2 linked regions of the Caenorhabditis elegans genome follow. The protein of the gene in region 1 purifies or fractionates together with the protein of each later gene. This does not show direct contact. Each region holds a gene or a part of one and is shown in the gene's direction. Other genes may lie near its edges. The genes, in order: utx-1 and wdr-5.3.

Region 1 (8,006 bases):
CACGCACTCATGCTTGCCGTGCTGTTCTGTGTTCAAATGAACCAGGTAAATATTTCATGAATCAGGCAAATATTTTTCCTATTAGTATTGTATGCAATACTATTTTTGATAGTTTAAATTTAGTTCGAGATTACCTATTTTCAAATGAAACAGCTATTGTGTTAGGTGACGATTTAAAAAAAGTTGTTAAAAATAAATTAATTATTGACGTTTTTTTTGTTAATTGGTTGTTAGGAGTTTTATTATACATAGAAGACAATTGAACTGCAAATAATGAAAATCTTTGAAATTGGCATTTCCAACAAAATTAGGATTGCTAGAGACTTGAACACAAATTTTCGTGGACACATTTAAATGCGTTATTGATAGCAACAGCCACATTACTAATAGAGAACATTCGGTAATTCAATTTTAGAAATTATTCATTCTTGTTACAAAAAATTAAATACAATAATTATTATAGATCTCGCAAGGAGTGACGACCAACGATCGTATCAAAGCTCGCCGAGCTGGTCATGCCCATTCTCACTCCGGCTCCACTGACTACAATGTTATTCATCACAAGCCAAGCATCTCGAAACGGTGTCATAATCTTCTGGAATTCTTTTCCTCTAACGGCGATCCAAACTGGTGAAAATACAAATTCGGATTTTATCTTCATCGGACCTGAAAAACTTGCCCTGCTCCCCGGATTTTTCAAACTTGAGAATCAAAACTTTTCTATGGCATAACAAATCTATCAATAAAAAACAAAATACTTGTAAATGTGAATCAGAAACCTAAATTTAAATTTCATCCCCGCCCATTCCCCCATTCACAATCTACTCTTTTTCATTTTCTTTCAGTTTTACATGAGATACTTCACTTGTATAATTTGGTTGTGAAAAGATTTTAAATGCTCTCTATCTCCCTTTTTCCCTCTTTCATTTCCTTTTTTGTTAAACTTTTTGTACATTCCGGTTAGAATCAAGTGCTTGGAGATATTTGAAGTTTTCCATCAGTTTTCTTACTTTGCTCTTCTCTCTTGCGTATTTCCGAGATCTCTTTTTCTTTACTGTTTTCCTAGATGTAAATAAATTTTCTTGAAATTAAACAAGAACTCAGTTTGTGTTGTCCAAAATCTTGGATTGTAACTTTTTTTTCCAGCGGTCTTCCTGTTGTTAATCTCAAAAAGCTCAGGTTTTAAAGTAATAACTTCTACAACAAGATCCACAATAATGTACTGGTTGCTCTCAAACAAAGTGGATCAAAAACTTAATGTGAAAAAGACATTTCAAAAAACTATAAAGATACCAAAGTTCTATTACTATTGGCAATATTGTTCAAGATTTGTGTTAGTTTTTTATTTACATATTTTTGAAGAATAAAGCAGAGTAGCTTGACAATATTCTTAGCATGGAATTTTTCATAACTCATGTTCTCTCGATTTTACAAATTTCTGAATGAGATTCAGTTCCACTTTGTGCGGTATTGCGAAATCTGCATATATTCACCCTTTCCACAAATTGCCCCCTGACGACCCCAATCCATACTTGCGCACACCATCGACCCACTCCTTGTCCGCCCAAGCGTTTCTAACCGTCTGCGCGTCCGTATACCGAGCACTACCTCTCCATTTCCCCCTCCACCATTCGCCAAACAGGCACAGTAGAGACGGGCTGCGAACGCACGGCAATGGCAACGATACTCCGTTTCTAACGTTGATCTTTGTTTAATAAACCATACTATTTGAATTAAGACACAGTATTGACCAGTTCACAGTGCTCTAATTGATTTTTTGTGCTTATTTTCTTTGTCAAAACTTGATTAAGATTTCTCCAAGTTATGTTTCCTACAATTCTCTTATGTGTATGTATTTTATTATTACTAAATCGCTGCAGTTTTTCCAGATTTGTATAATTCCCAAAAAGTCTTGTGCATGAACACCGTATCGCTTCTCACACCGCCAATGGACGAATCAGAACCTCTGCCGGAGGAGCGTCATGTAAGGATTACTTGTTTTTAGTGCGCAAAAGTTAAATTTTCTCATTTTTCAGCCTGGAAACTTTAAAAAATGGCTGGAACTGCCCCTTCTGACAAATTATGAACTGGAAAGGATTCGCACATTAAGCAGGTTGAAAAATTGTCACAAGATTGCAATAAAGTAAATATTTTTTTAATTTTCAGTTTATCATTCGACGAGTTTCACGTTCAAAACCCAGCCGATCTCACTTATCAAGTCAGATTGTTCTTTGCAAAAGCCCGCCAATACCTTGTCAGATATGTGGATGAGATGAAGAGCATTTATAAAACGCACAAGTACAAGACAATCGAACGGCGCATTTTCTACGGATTGGCGAAACAGTGTCACGTTGTTCTTTTGGCAAATGATTGGACCGGAGCACTGGAGCTTTATCAAGAAGTGTTGAGCCATCATCCTGACCTATTCTCACATGATCCTTCGATGTACTTCGGGTTAGGTCTTGTCTACTTGCATTTCAAACAGTGGAAACCGTGAGTTTTTGTTTTTTTGTTGTGAATAATCTGAAACAAAATCTTCTAGTGCAATCGAGGCATTCACAAGACTGCTATATAGTTTTCCAACCGGTATGATCGCATTGCAAGCAAAAGTTCGTCTTGGAGTGTGTTACATGGAACTTGAAGATTACAACAGATGCATAAATGTAAGTATTAAGAAAACGATCTGAAAAAGTTATAAGTTGAGACATAAAAAAAACAAGTTTTAATTGCATTCAATGCGTTATTAAAATTTGTAGTGTTTCTACAATCTTTCTTAATTAAACTTTTGGTAAGTCTTACCATCAGCTTTCTCGAGCAAACTGGCAGTTTTCCCACAACTAGTTGTGGAAAATTAGCTAGATACTCTACAAAGCTAGATCAAAAGACCGAGAATACGCATGCTTTTGCAATAAAAAGCTATACTCCAGAAACTTTACAATGCGTAAAATTTCGTAAAATCTTTTCAGTTATTTAATAAACTTATTATATTTTACAGCTGTTCAAACTTGCCGTCAACGACAGTGATGAGTCAGTATTTATGCCGAAATTCACAATTAAGTACAACATTGCTCTGAGCCACGAGAATAATGATGAGCTTGAAATTGCAGAATCAGAATATGAAAACCTAATAACTGAAGTGAGTAGTATCACCAAACAATGTTAAAAACAAAAAAAAATCGAATAATTTCAGTTAACACAACACATCAGTTTCTTACAAAGCAAGTCGAATGTGGATCAACAACAAGTTGACTTATTGATAAGTGTGAAAGCAGCATGTTTGCGACAAATTGGCTGGATTTCATATCGCCGCTCTTATAAAGACGATGCAAATCGTCTGGATCATTTGAAGAAGGCCCAAGAGAATCTCATTAGTGCACATGATACAGATCCACGAGATGGACAAAGCTACTACTATCTGGGACGAGTCTACGGGGAACACGAGCCTAGTGTTAGTGGACAAGTGGTTTGTGTTCATTTTGTTCCTTAACAATCTTAAAAAATAACTTGTTTTATTTCTATTAACCTCTAATTTTCAAAAAAAAACGTTAGGAAAATAATTTAATTCTTCCTGAATTTAAGGCACACGATGCGTTTGTCAACTACCGGTTTTCGATTGACAAAAAAGAGCAGAATGCGGACACGTGGTGCTCAATTGGAGCTCTGTATCAGCGACAAAATCAACCCATTGATGCTCTTCAGGTATGTTCAGGAATCAAAATTAGAGTTTTTGGAAACAATGTGCACAGTGTGCAAGATCAGAGCAATTCTCAAAACAATGGCGTATGCCCACCCCAATCTTTCCAATAAATGCCTCCAATTTTTAATATATTGAACACGTTTTAGGCATTCATATGTGCAATTGAGCTGAATTCAACACATTCTGCGGCATGGACAGATCTCGGAGAGCTTTATGAGAAAAATGCCCAGTACCAAGATGCGCTGGAGTGTTTCAAAAATGCAATGCTGAACAATCCAGGTATGTTGATGGTTTCCTGAAAGAAAAAGTAGAAGAATATAAATAAATTATAACTTTTCTGGAAAAACCAAATTGAAATTTCTATCAAAAAATGTTGTGAATGAATCAGTTTCAATATGATTTTCTTCATTTCTTATCAGCCAATGATACTTGCCTGTCTATAGTAGAATGGGTGTCGCTAAATTTGCTATCGCCAAACATTGAATGTAAACTTAAACGAAAATATAAGAGAAATGAAAGGATATAACAGAAGCACAACTAATCTGCTTAATCTCTAGTCACCAGATAAAATTTCCACGTGATTGGAAAATATATTTAAAGGAAGTATGACAACATTTATGACAACGACTGAAAAATGTTTAAGAAAAAAACCAAGTTGTTTCAATTGTAATGGTCTTTTCTAAGAAAGCTCTGATAACAAACAACATTCATTTTGAAATTAGCAATACACACTGTAAGTGTTTCCAAGTTGAAAATGTTTAATAAAATAGAAGACGTGACAAATGAAACGCAGTATCCATTAAAAAGAGAAACAATATATTTCATTGCAGTTTTGAGTTTTTCAAGTTTTAGGAAGGTGAGCTTGTAAATGTAGGTTAAATGTAAAGCTAGAGGCTGTTTTGAGTGAGTAGTAGTAATTAACGATTTCAGATTTTTTAAAGAACAAACTAATGTTATCATGACATTTCAGTTGCTCCGGAACCAATCAAAGCTCGTGTACAATTTCTTGAAAAAGAACTCTCGATGCCTGTGCCCGCACGTCCCTCAAATCACGCCTCGTCATCAACATTTGAAACCGTGATACCTTCATTGAAAGAAGCTTATGAGCAGCCAATACCTCTAGAGCTTCGTAATCGTCAAGACGCTGCCTATGCTGTAAGTGATTGTTGTCATGTGCGTTTTTTTGAAACCACAATTTTTAGGACAGAGAAGCTCAGTATGACAACGCGTTTTGGGATCTTTGGGAAGATTTCAGAACAATGGAGCATGAAAAGCCGGAAGATATGGAATGGGATGTAACGTATCCAAGGCCAATGGAAGATCTCGAAATCCAGGTTATGCAGTTGCTTCGTGCCAACGAACCAGCTTTAGTAAAAGCTGAGAGAGAAGTTCTTGAGTGTTTGGAAACCAGCGAGGCAGTGTTTAAGGTAATAAGAGCTCAAATAGCTGACAAACACAGGCCAGTGAAAAATGCGAGCAAAAAAGGCCAAACACGGCTTAGAAGTCATACTCTTTTCATTAGTGTATGATAGCTATACATTTATGCCAGTACATCAAGGGAAGTGATGATGCAGTTGCTGCCAGGGCGGCCGCCAGTGTTGCTTCTAACATTAAAAAAGGAAAAAAACGAGAGAATTTCATAGCGTATCTGTTGCACAAATCTCTTGAGTAGACGCAATGAGCCTAATTATAAAGCTTTTCTATGTTCTATTGTCGCATGTAAAATATATTCTGAATAACTGAAGCGTGATCAGAACTGAAAGTTAAAGTTGTGACTCACTTTTTCTGTAATCTGAAACATTTGAAAACCATAGGGATTATTAAATGGTTTATTGAAAAACATTAAATTTTTCAGGCAAAAGTTATTGAATACGTAATTCCGGAAGCCGTTCGTGAAATGCCACGTGTCACCGAGGAAATGATCCAAAACCTTCGCGACCATGGGCATCTACTTGAATCGCCGAGATGCTACAGCTTCCCATTCTTACCGAAAATTTCGTTTAATGACCTTCCGGATAGTTTCAGTTTGCTCTCGGAGCTCTATGTTTCAATGGATATCAGCGCTCAGGAAATTATGCAAATGGTTCATAGAAGAACTCAGCCAAACTCCACATACCTACCAGTGTTTGAAGAATTTGCGAAGTTACCCGAGCCACCACGAGGTCCCGTAAAGCCAATTGTAACAGATGAAGATGTACGCACGGCGCTAGAAAGGAGTGAAAAGCATCCATTAATTCTTAAAACCCCAATTCTTACGGTGGACAATAGGAAGGAAGCTCAAAGTCTGGAATTACAACGGTTTTTGGATGGGTCTACTATTTCTTGTATTCGTGGACTTACTGGTTGCCTTCGCCTCGATTTGTCGCTATTCTCCACGAAAGCAGTGGCAGAAATTGACGGAAACCAAGAAATTGAAATCCGAACTCAGTATCAACTACCACCAGAAACGAACTGTGATCATGCAAGTCAACAGACATGGCAATGTGTCAGTGATCCCTCGTACACAACAGTCAACAAGTATGCCGAGTATCAATCGGAATCGTTCAAGCACACGCTAAAGGGTGAAGCTGAGAAAATCAAGAAAAATGTGGGAGGAACACGTGGACCTTCTCCTAAAAGAATGAAATTGTATAAGCGAGCCAGCTCTCCACCGAAACATCTGAAGTCTATTAAATATGGAACTAATATTGATTTATCTGATGACACTAAATGGGGAAAACAGATCAACGTAAGTTTTTTTATTGCTCCATATTTTAAAACCAAACACAACTGCCGTTTTTCAGGAACTTTCTAAACTTCCTGCTTTTTGTCGCCTCATCGCCGGCTCAAACATGCTCTCCCACTTGGGGCACCAAGTTCACGGCATGAATACTGTTAAGCTTTTCATGAAAGTTCCTGGCTGCAGAACACCAGCTCATCAGGATAGCAATCACATGGCTTCCATCAACATAAACATTGGTCCCGGTGACTGTGAATGGTTTGCCGTTCCATACGAGTATTGGGGAAAGATGCATAAGTTGTGCGAGAAGAATGGCGTTGATCTTTTGACTGGAACATTTTGGCCTATTATCGATGACTTATTAGATGCAGGAATTCCAGTGCACCGTTTCACACAGAAGGCTGGAGACATGGTATATGTGAGTGGCGGAGCCATTCATTGGGTACAAGCTTCGGGATGGTGCAACAACATTTCTTGGAATGTGGCGCCACTCAACTTTCAACAGTTGAGCATCTCTTTGCTCAGCTACGAATACAACAAGCTGCGCCGATTTAAGAGTGAAGTTCCAATGCAATTAATGTGCTGGCAAGTAGCAAAGAATGTCAAGTTTACCAACCAGCTCATCTACAATACTTGCAAAGGTGTATTGATTAGGTGAGTAGCCTAAGAAGAACAATCAAGTTTGTAATAACTTTATTTCAGATCACTTGCATTCCTGAGAATGGTTGCCGATTATATCGTGTCTCAGAAGAAAACCATAAAAGCTCATACTCGAACAAGTGGAGAACAATCCCATTTCTGTATGACGTGCGAGTGTGAAGTGTTTTGTATTTTGTTCGTGAAGGATATTGGCGGAAAGTTTACAGTCTTCTGTGTATACTGTGCTAAATCGTAAGTTTTCAAAATTTTTGAACGTTTTGGGCTTAGAAATGGTTATTTTTTATGCCTAAAAATACAAAAACATTCAACACGTGATTCTGTATATTTTTGAAAAGTTACTTTTAAAAAATACACAAGTACTTGCGGAACCTCACTCAGAATTATAGTGGTTCGAAAAGAAAATGTGATTTTTCAGGCAAGGAATCGAAGGCTTCATAGCTCTTCAGCAGTTCTCGTTCACCGACTTGTACTCAATCTACGACAACATGAAATATATACCCGCAGCTAACAACAATAAGATGAGTTTCACTGCCTAGAAAGTTCTAGTTAGGACGTTTTAATCATTGCATATTTTATTTCACAAACCTGTTCCACTTGATGTGCCTCTCTCCCTCACCCCAAACATTTCCCCGTTTCAATTTTTGGCGAAAGCTCAAAAGGTCTCGTTCACTTATCTCAATCTTCTCAATTAGTTCATTTGTGTCCCTCTTTCGATACACTTCCAAAACTGTGAAAACCCAAATTTTAAACTATTTCCTCAATTTATCTGATCTCCTGTTTATTGTTGAACTTTTTTTTCAAACTGACTGCCATGTTTTACAAAACGTGGGATTGTTAGCTCATGGATTGTTTTTTTATTTCGAGCTTTAATTTTTTCTAAATAAACTGTTGTTTTGATAAACGGAAGTTTTATTAGTATAGAGAAGGCAG
Region 2 (4,749 bases), on another chromosome or scaffold:
TGAAGCAAACTTTCTTCCTTTAATCTAAAAACCGATAGTTATATTTAAATTAAAATCGTTAAATCTTATACCTTTATTAGGAATGCATTTTTCTGCAGGGCTTCTTCCGGAGTGAGCGAAGTAGCAACAGTCGATCCTGGTTGAAGAATGTAAAATCCATCACCAACAGCTTCCGATGAAGCAACATATTGAGGATCAGGTTTACATTCGTGTTCGTGTCCCCAAATAAGAAGGTCAAAGAATTGAGGAATCAGAGATTCGGGAAGAAAGTTTCCTGTCGATCGGTGCATGGCTCTCCGTGGACGATTTTGATGGAGGACAAACAAATTAAACCAATCCTCGGCGCCAGCGTTTGGCCGCAAAAATGAAATACTATTATTTTTGAATGCTCGAACAAGACGATCATCTCTTTGACTTCCAATTCCGTATAACGCCAAACGAGTTTCTCCTTTTCTAAGCAAAATTGGTGAAACAATAAACTCCTGAATGTTGCTGTGCTTTCCAAACAGATTTACAAGTCCAGATTCGTGAAGAAGATCAAGAGCAGTAAGTCCTTTTCCTGATAGATCATCATGATTTCCATGAATTGTGAAAATTGGAAGACCGACATTCAAATTCTGATCGTAATAGTTCACGTGACCAAACACACTTTGATTAAAATTGACAGAAGCATCTGAGAGAAACTCCAACGCGATTGGATTCCCATTCAAGCAATATTGACGGAGCAATTGTGTAACACGATGTTGAACTTCTCTAGATGGATTATTTTCATGAAAAAGATCTCCTCCAAGTAAAATCATATCGACTTTTTGTTCAGTGGCAATTTGAAGCACTTCTTCAAAAGTGTTGACGGCATCCATATGACTGAAAATTTGATATTTTTTTTGAGACTTTATGTTCCAATAAAACTCACATGTTGGCTTTATTTTCTCCATAACCGCAATGAATATCAGTGGCAACGAGAATTTTGATGATGTCCTCAGATTCGTCATGAGCTGGCTCGTCTCCCTCGTCGAGACTGAAATAAATGTTTGTGATATTTTCGTCAAAATCAAAACAACGTACTCTTCAACCATAGTGTCGTTGGCAGCATCTGGCCTTTGTGAGCAGGGAACCTCGTCATCGTCGAGATGATCCTAAAATATTGACATTCACTTTTTTTTTAATCTTTAAAAATAATTTTTTTAATACCTGATTTCGGGTACGCGAAGATGCTGGCTCTTGACTATCTGGTACAAAGTCGTCAAAACTGTCATCACTGCCACACATGGCTCTGAAAGAAATATTGAATAAATGTTAACGATTTGTAAAATTGCGAAATTTAACAAGAAACTTTATGTTTCAGAAATATTTAGCGGCATAGCGCTACCAAACGTTAGCATTTTTTGCAATTTTCTATTTCCGGAAGAATTTTACCTTATGAAAATACGTTCTACAGTGAGAGAGTTATATTTTCGGACTTTAAACTGAAAAATGAGTTTGAAAAAATAGTTTGCGCGCGTGAAAACTTGAATTGGCCTAGAAACCTTTCCCGTGGCCGACATTATTCTGAGAATGTACTCCTCTCGAACAACATATAAACTCGGCGCCAAAACGTTTTTGTTTGCAAAATAGGCTGTCATTTCAGTATTTTCATCAGTTCGCACTTATTATTCTTATTCAATTGCTGACCAGATTTGAATAAATCACTTTTTAATATTCATTTTCTATATTGCAGAAATGAATCCCGAGCGGCAGGAAACAATATCGCCGAAAAATGTGCCGTTTCAGCCTGTTCCTACGCCAAATCAACAGAGTCTACAATCTCGCATGTTGGAATCCAATCAAGCTGTTCCAGATGCATTTCAAAAAGTGAGTCAGATTTTATTCATTGTTTAGACTGAGAAATATCAGGTTGCAGCTTGGAATCACTATAATGCAGTAGCAACACCGCCAATCGGAGTTCCTCAAACTGCGCGCCCTCCATCAAATCAATCACCACATCCAAATCCACCAGGCTATCCATATCAATCGCATCAACAACAATTTCACCCATTAGCAATAGCATTCCAGCAGCCGTTTGGATTACCGCAACAAGTGATCTACCCTCCACCACCACCAGGTTTTACGCCACATCGTGTTCAAGTATCACCCGTCGGACTTTTGGGACCTCCCGGATTCTTTCCGCAATTTGCCGGCTCAACAACTTCTCAAGGAAATCCATCAGAAGTTTCAGTCCGAACGAAATCTGCGGAGGGAACGACAGGTCCGATTGCTCCTTCTATCACTACAAAACCTACATCCACCATTCAAGTTGCACCTCCACGTGACCCAGTCGCACCTACGACATCATCTTCTGGAATCACCAAAAAGCCTGAAAATGGTGAATTTTCGCTAGTAAAAACGATTTCGGGACATACTAAGTCTGTATCTGTGATAAAGTTTTCGTATTGCGGAAAGTATCTCGGAACTGGTTCAGCTGACAAGCAAATAAAAGTATGGAACACCGTTGACATGACGTACTTGCAAACTGTAAGTAGGCTTTTTCATGCAGCTGTTATGTATTTTATTTCAGCTCGCCAGTCATCAACTAGGAATAAACGATTTTTCATGGAGTTCCAATAGTCAGTTCATAGCATCAGCTTCTGATGATACTACTGTCAAGATATTTGATGTTATCAGTGGAGCTTGTCTAAGAACAATGCGTGGTCATACTAATTATGTCTTCTGCTGCAGTTTCAACCCTCAATCATCATTGATCGCATCTGCTGGATTTGATGAAACAGTTCGTGTTTGGGATTTCAAAACTGGACTCTGTGTTAAATGTATTCCTGCTCATTCGGATCCAATTACATCTATATCGTACAATCACGATGGAAATACAATGGCTACTTCATCATATGATGGATGTATTCGTGTATGGGATGCAGCTAGTGGTTCCTGTCTAAAGACACTTGTCGATACAGATCATGCCCCCGTTACTTTTGTATGCTTCTCACCAAATGGAAAATATTTGCTATCGGCGCAACTTGACAGGTAAAAAATAATATGAAGTAACATATGGAAAAGTGAATAATTGTTTGTTTTTCAGCAGTCTCAAGCTATGGGATCCAAAAAAGGCGAAACCATTGAAATATTACAACGGTCATAAAAACAAAAAATATTGCCTTTTTGCAAACATGTCGGTCCCACTTGGAAAGGTAAATTTTTTAAAGATCTTGAAAGTGTCGAAGACTAAGCCTGGGCCACAAAGACAAATAAAATAGATAAACGGCCGACATATGCAATATATAATGATAACTCAATTAGAATCCAAATTTTTGGTTACTGTAACAAGTATAAATGGGCGAAATTTCGGACTTTAAATAACGAAATTTGACGTTTTTTTTTCTAATTCTGACCGGCCATAAATTTTTAAATAAAAAAATTTCACCATTCTTTAAATAGTAATTTTGTGTAGATCTAGTCAGCTTCGAACGTTCAACTTTTTGAAAAATATGTCCATTTTGTTAAAAAGAATTTCCGTACAACAAAGCCCCAATTTCCAGCATATCATCAGTGGTTCTGAAGATGGACGTATACTTGTATGGAGTATTCAAACAAAACAAATCGTACAAATATTGGAAGGTCATACTACTCCCGTTTTGGCAACGGATTCTCATCCAACACTCAACATCATTGCTTCTGGTGGACTAGAGCCCGACAACGTTATTAGAATCTGGCGTCGAAACTAGAATTAAAAATATAGAAAATAGCACTGACTGCACTTTCAAACTCTTTCATTTGTATCATGGTTTTTTATTTTCCCCGTTTCTTTCATCAACTGAAATATGATCTCGGTTGTCTTTTCTTGTAGCATATTTTAAGGTTCGATATCAATTCAGATCTCCTCCTCATCACATTACTAAATATTTATTCAAGGAATATACTATTTCTATTTTGTACTATGTTGACAATAAATGGCTCAATGAACTATCGATTTTCAGTTGTTGTAGGAGCCATGCTCCAATGTTCTCTTTGAATTTTGAGTCGATCTCATTCAGTTCACCGATCACTTTCCGAACTCTTTTATCGTCCTGAAGTTAAACATATTCAAAATCTAGTAAAATGCAAAGGGCAATTACCATAAAAAACTCGTAAGCTTCTGCTTTCATAGTGGCATCCTTGATCTTTTTCACAAGTTGTGATGGAGATCGAGAGTCGTTTCGATTCTTAAAATTCTAAGATTTTTAGAATAATTTTTCGACATTCCTACCGCTTTGTAGTTTAGATACTCAGTTTGTAGAGATACAACCCGATCCAAATAAATTAGTGATCGTTGTTCATAATGAGAATTGGATGCGGTTTTACGACAATTCCAGTACTCTGAAAATAGTGTTTCTTGGTTCAAAATGTTTATTATGGAGACGCAGAAAAATGCCCCTTTTGAAATCGTGCTCCACGGCCACTTCAATAAGTTCCGCCCTTGAACCATTGGTCTCGTTAGGCATTGGCGGGAAACCCAGAAGTTCAAACGTTTTCAATTTTTTCTCTAATTTCAAGCGTTTTTCATCGTTTTGCTATTTTTCCCGTTGTTTCTAATAGTTTTTAGGCCGAAATAATGTTTTAAAGAAATGAAAATGCAAATTGAAAAATTGAAAAGGTGAATAAGGTTTTTTTGAAGGAATTATATTTTTCACCGTTTTGCCATTAAATACCTAACGGGATCCATCATTCTGGGGGCAGAGCGTTTTCAATTGGCTGTAGAGCGCGTTTCTATGAAGAATGGAA

Evidence for each region.
Region 2: the proteins of utx-1 (region 1) and wdr-5.3 purify together in Caenorhabditis elegans (affinity purification with mass spectrometry, with the first as the bait; one study listed by BioGRID). This does not show direct contact.

The regions. Positions count from the first base shown.
Region 1 is NC_003284.9:8,555,262-8,563,267, forward strand, and holds utx-1 (JmjC domain-containing protein), read left to right. Parts: upstream 1-1,889; 5' UTR 1,890-1,918; coding exon 1,919-1,984; intron 1,985-2,036; coding exon 2,037-2,113; intron 2,114-2,166; coding exon 2,167-2,493; intron 2,494-2,542; coding exon 2,543-2,663; intron 2,664-2,995; coding exon 2,996-3,136; intron 3,137-3,190; coding exon 3,191-3,463; intron 3,464-3,579; coding exon 3,580-3,699; intron 3,700-3,843; coding exon 3,844-3,976; intron 3,977-4,667; coding exon 4,668-4,852; intron 4,853-4,899; coding exon 4,900-5,124; intron 5,125-5,552; coding exon 5,553-6,425; intron 6,426-6,480; coding exon 6,481-7,070; intron 7,071-7,118; coding exon 7,119-7,307; intron 7,308-7,491; coding exon 7,492-7,612; 3' UTR 7,613-7,974; downstream 7,975-8,006. Other genes in the region: dhhc-14 (Palmitoyltransferase), read left to right, coding at 1-45, 464-634.
Region 2 is NC_003283.11:10,735,399-10,740,147, forward strand, and holds wdr-5.3 (WD repeat-containing protein wdr-5.3), read left to right. Parts: upstream 1-1,717; 5' UTR 1,718-1,719; coding exon 1,720-1,851; intron 1,852-1,893; coding exon 1,894-2,511; intron 2,512-2,554; coding exon 2,555-3,015; intron 3,016-3,070; coding exon 3,071-3,179; intron 3,180-3,527; coding exon 3,528-3,713; 3' UTR 3,714-3,923; downstream 3,924-4,749. Other genes in the region: Double-strand break repair protein mre-11, read right to left, coding at 1-24, 72-864, 914-1,018, 1,066-1,136, 1,192-1,269; ZC302.3 (uncharacterized protein), read right to left, coding at 3,924-4,055, 4,104-4,190, 4,235-4,344. UniProt on the Caenorhabditis elegans protein: Not required for methylation of histone H3 'Lys-4'.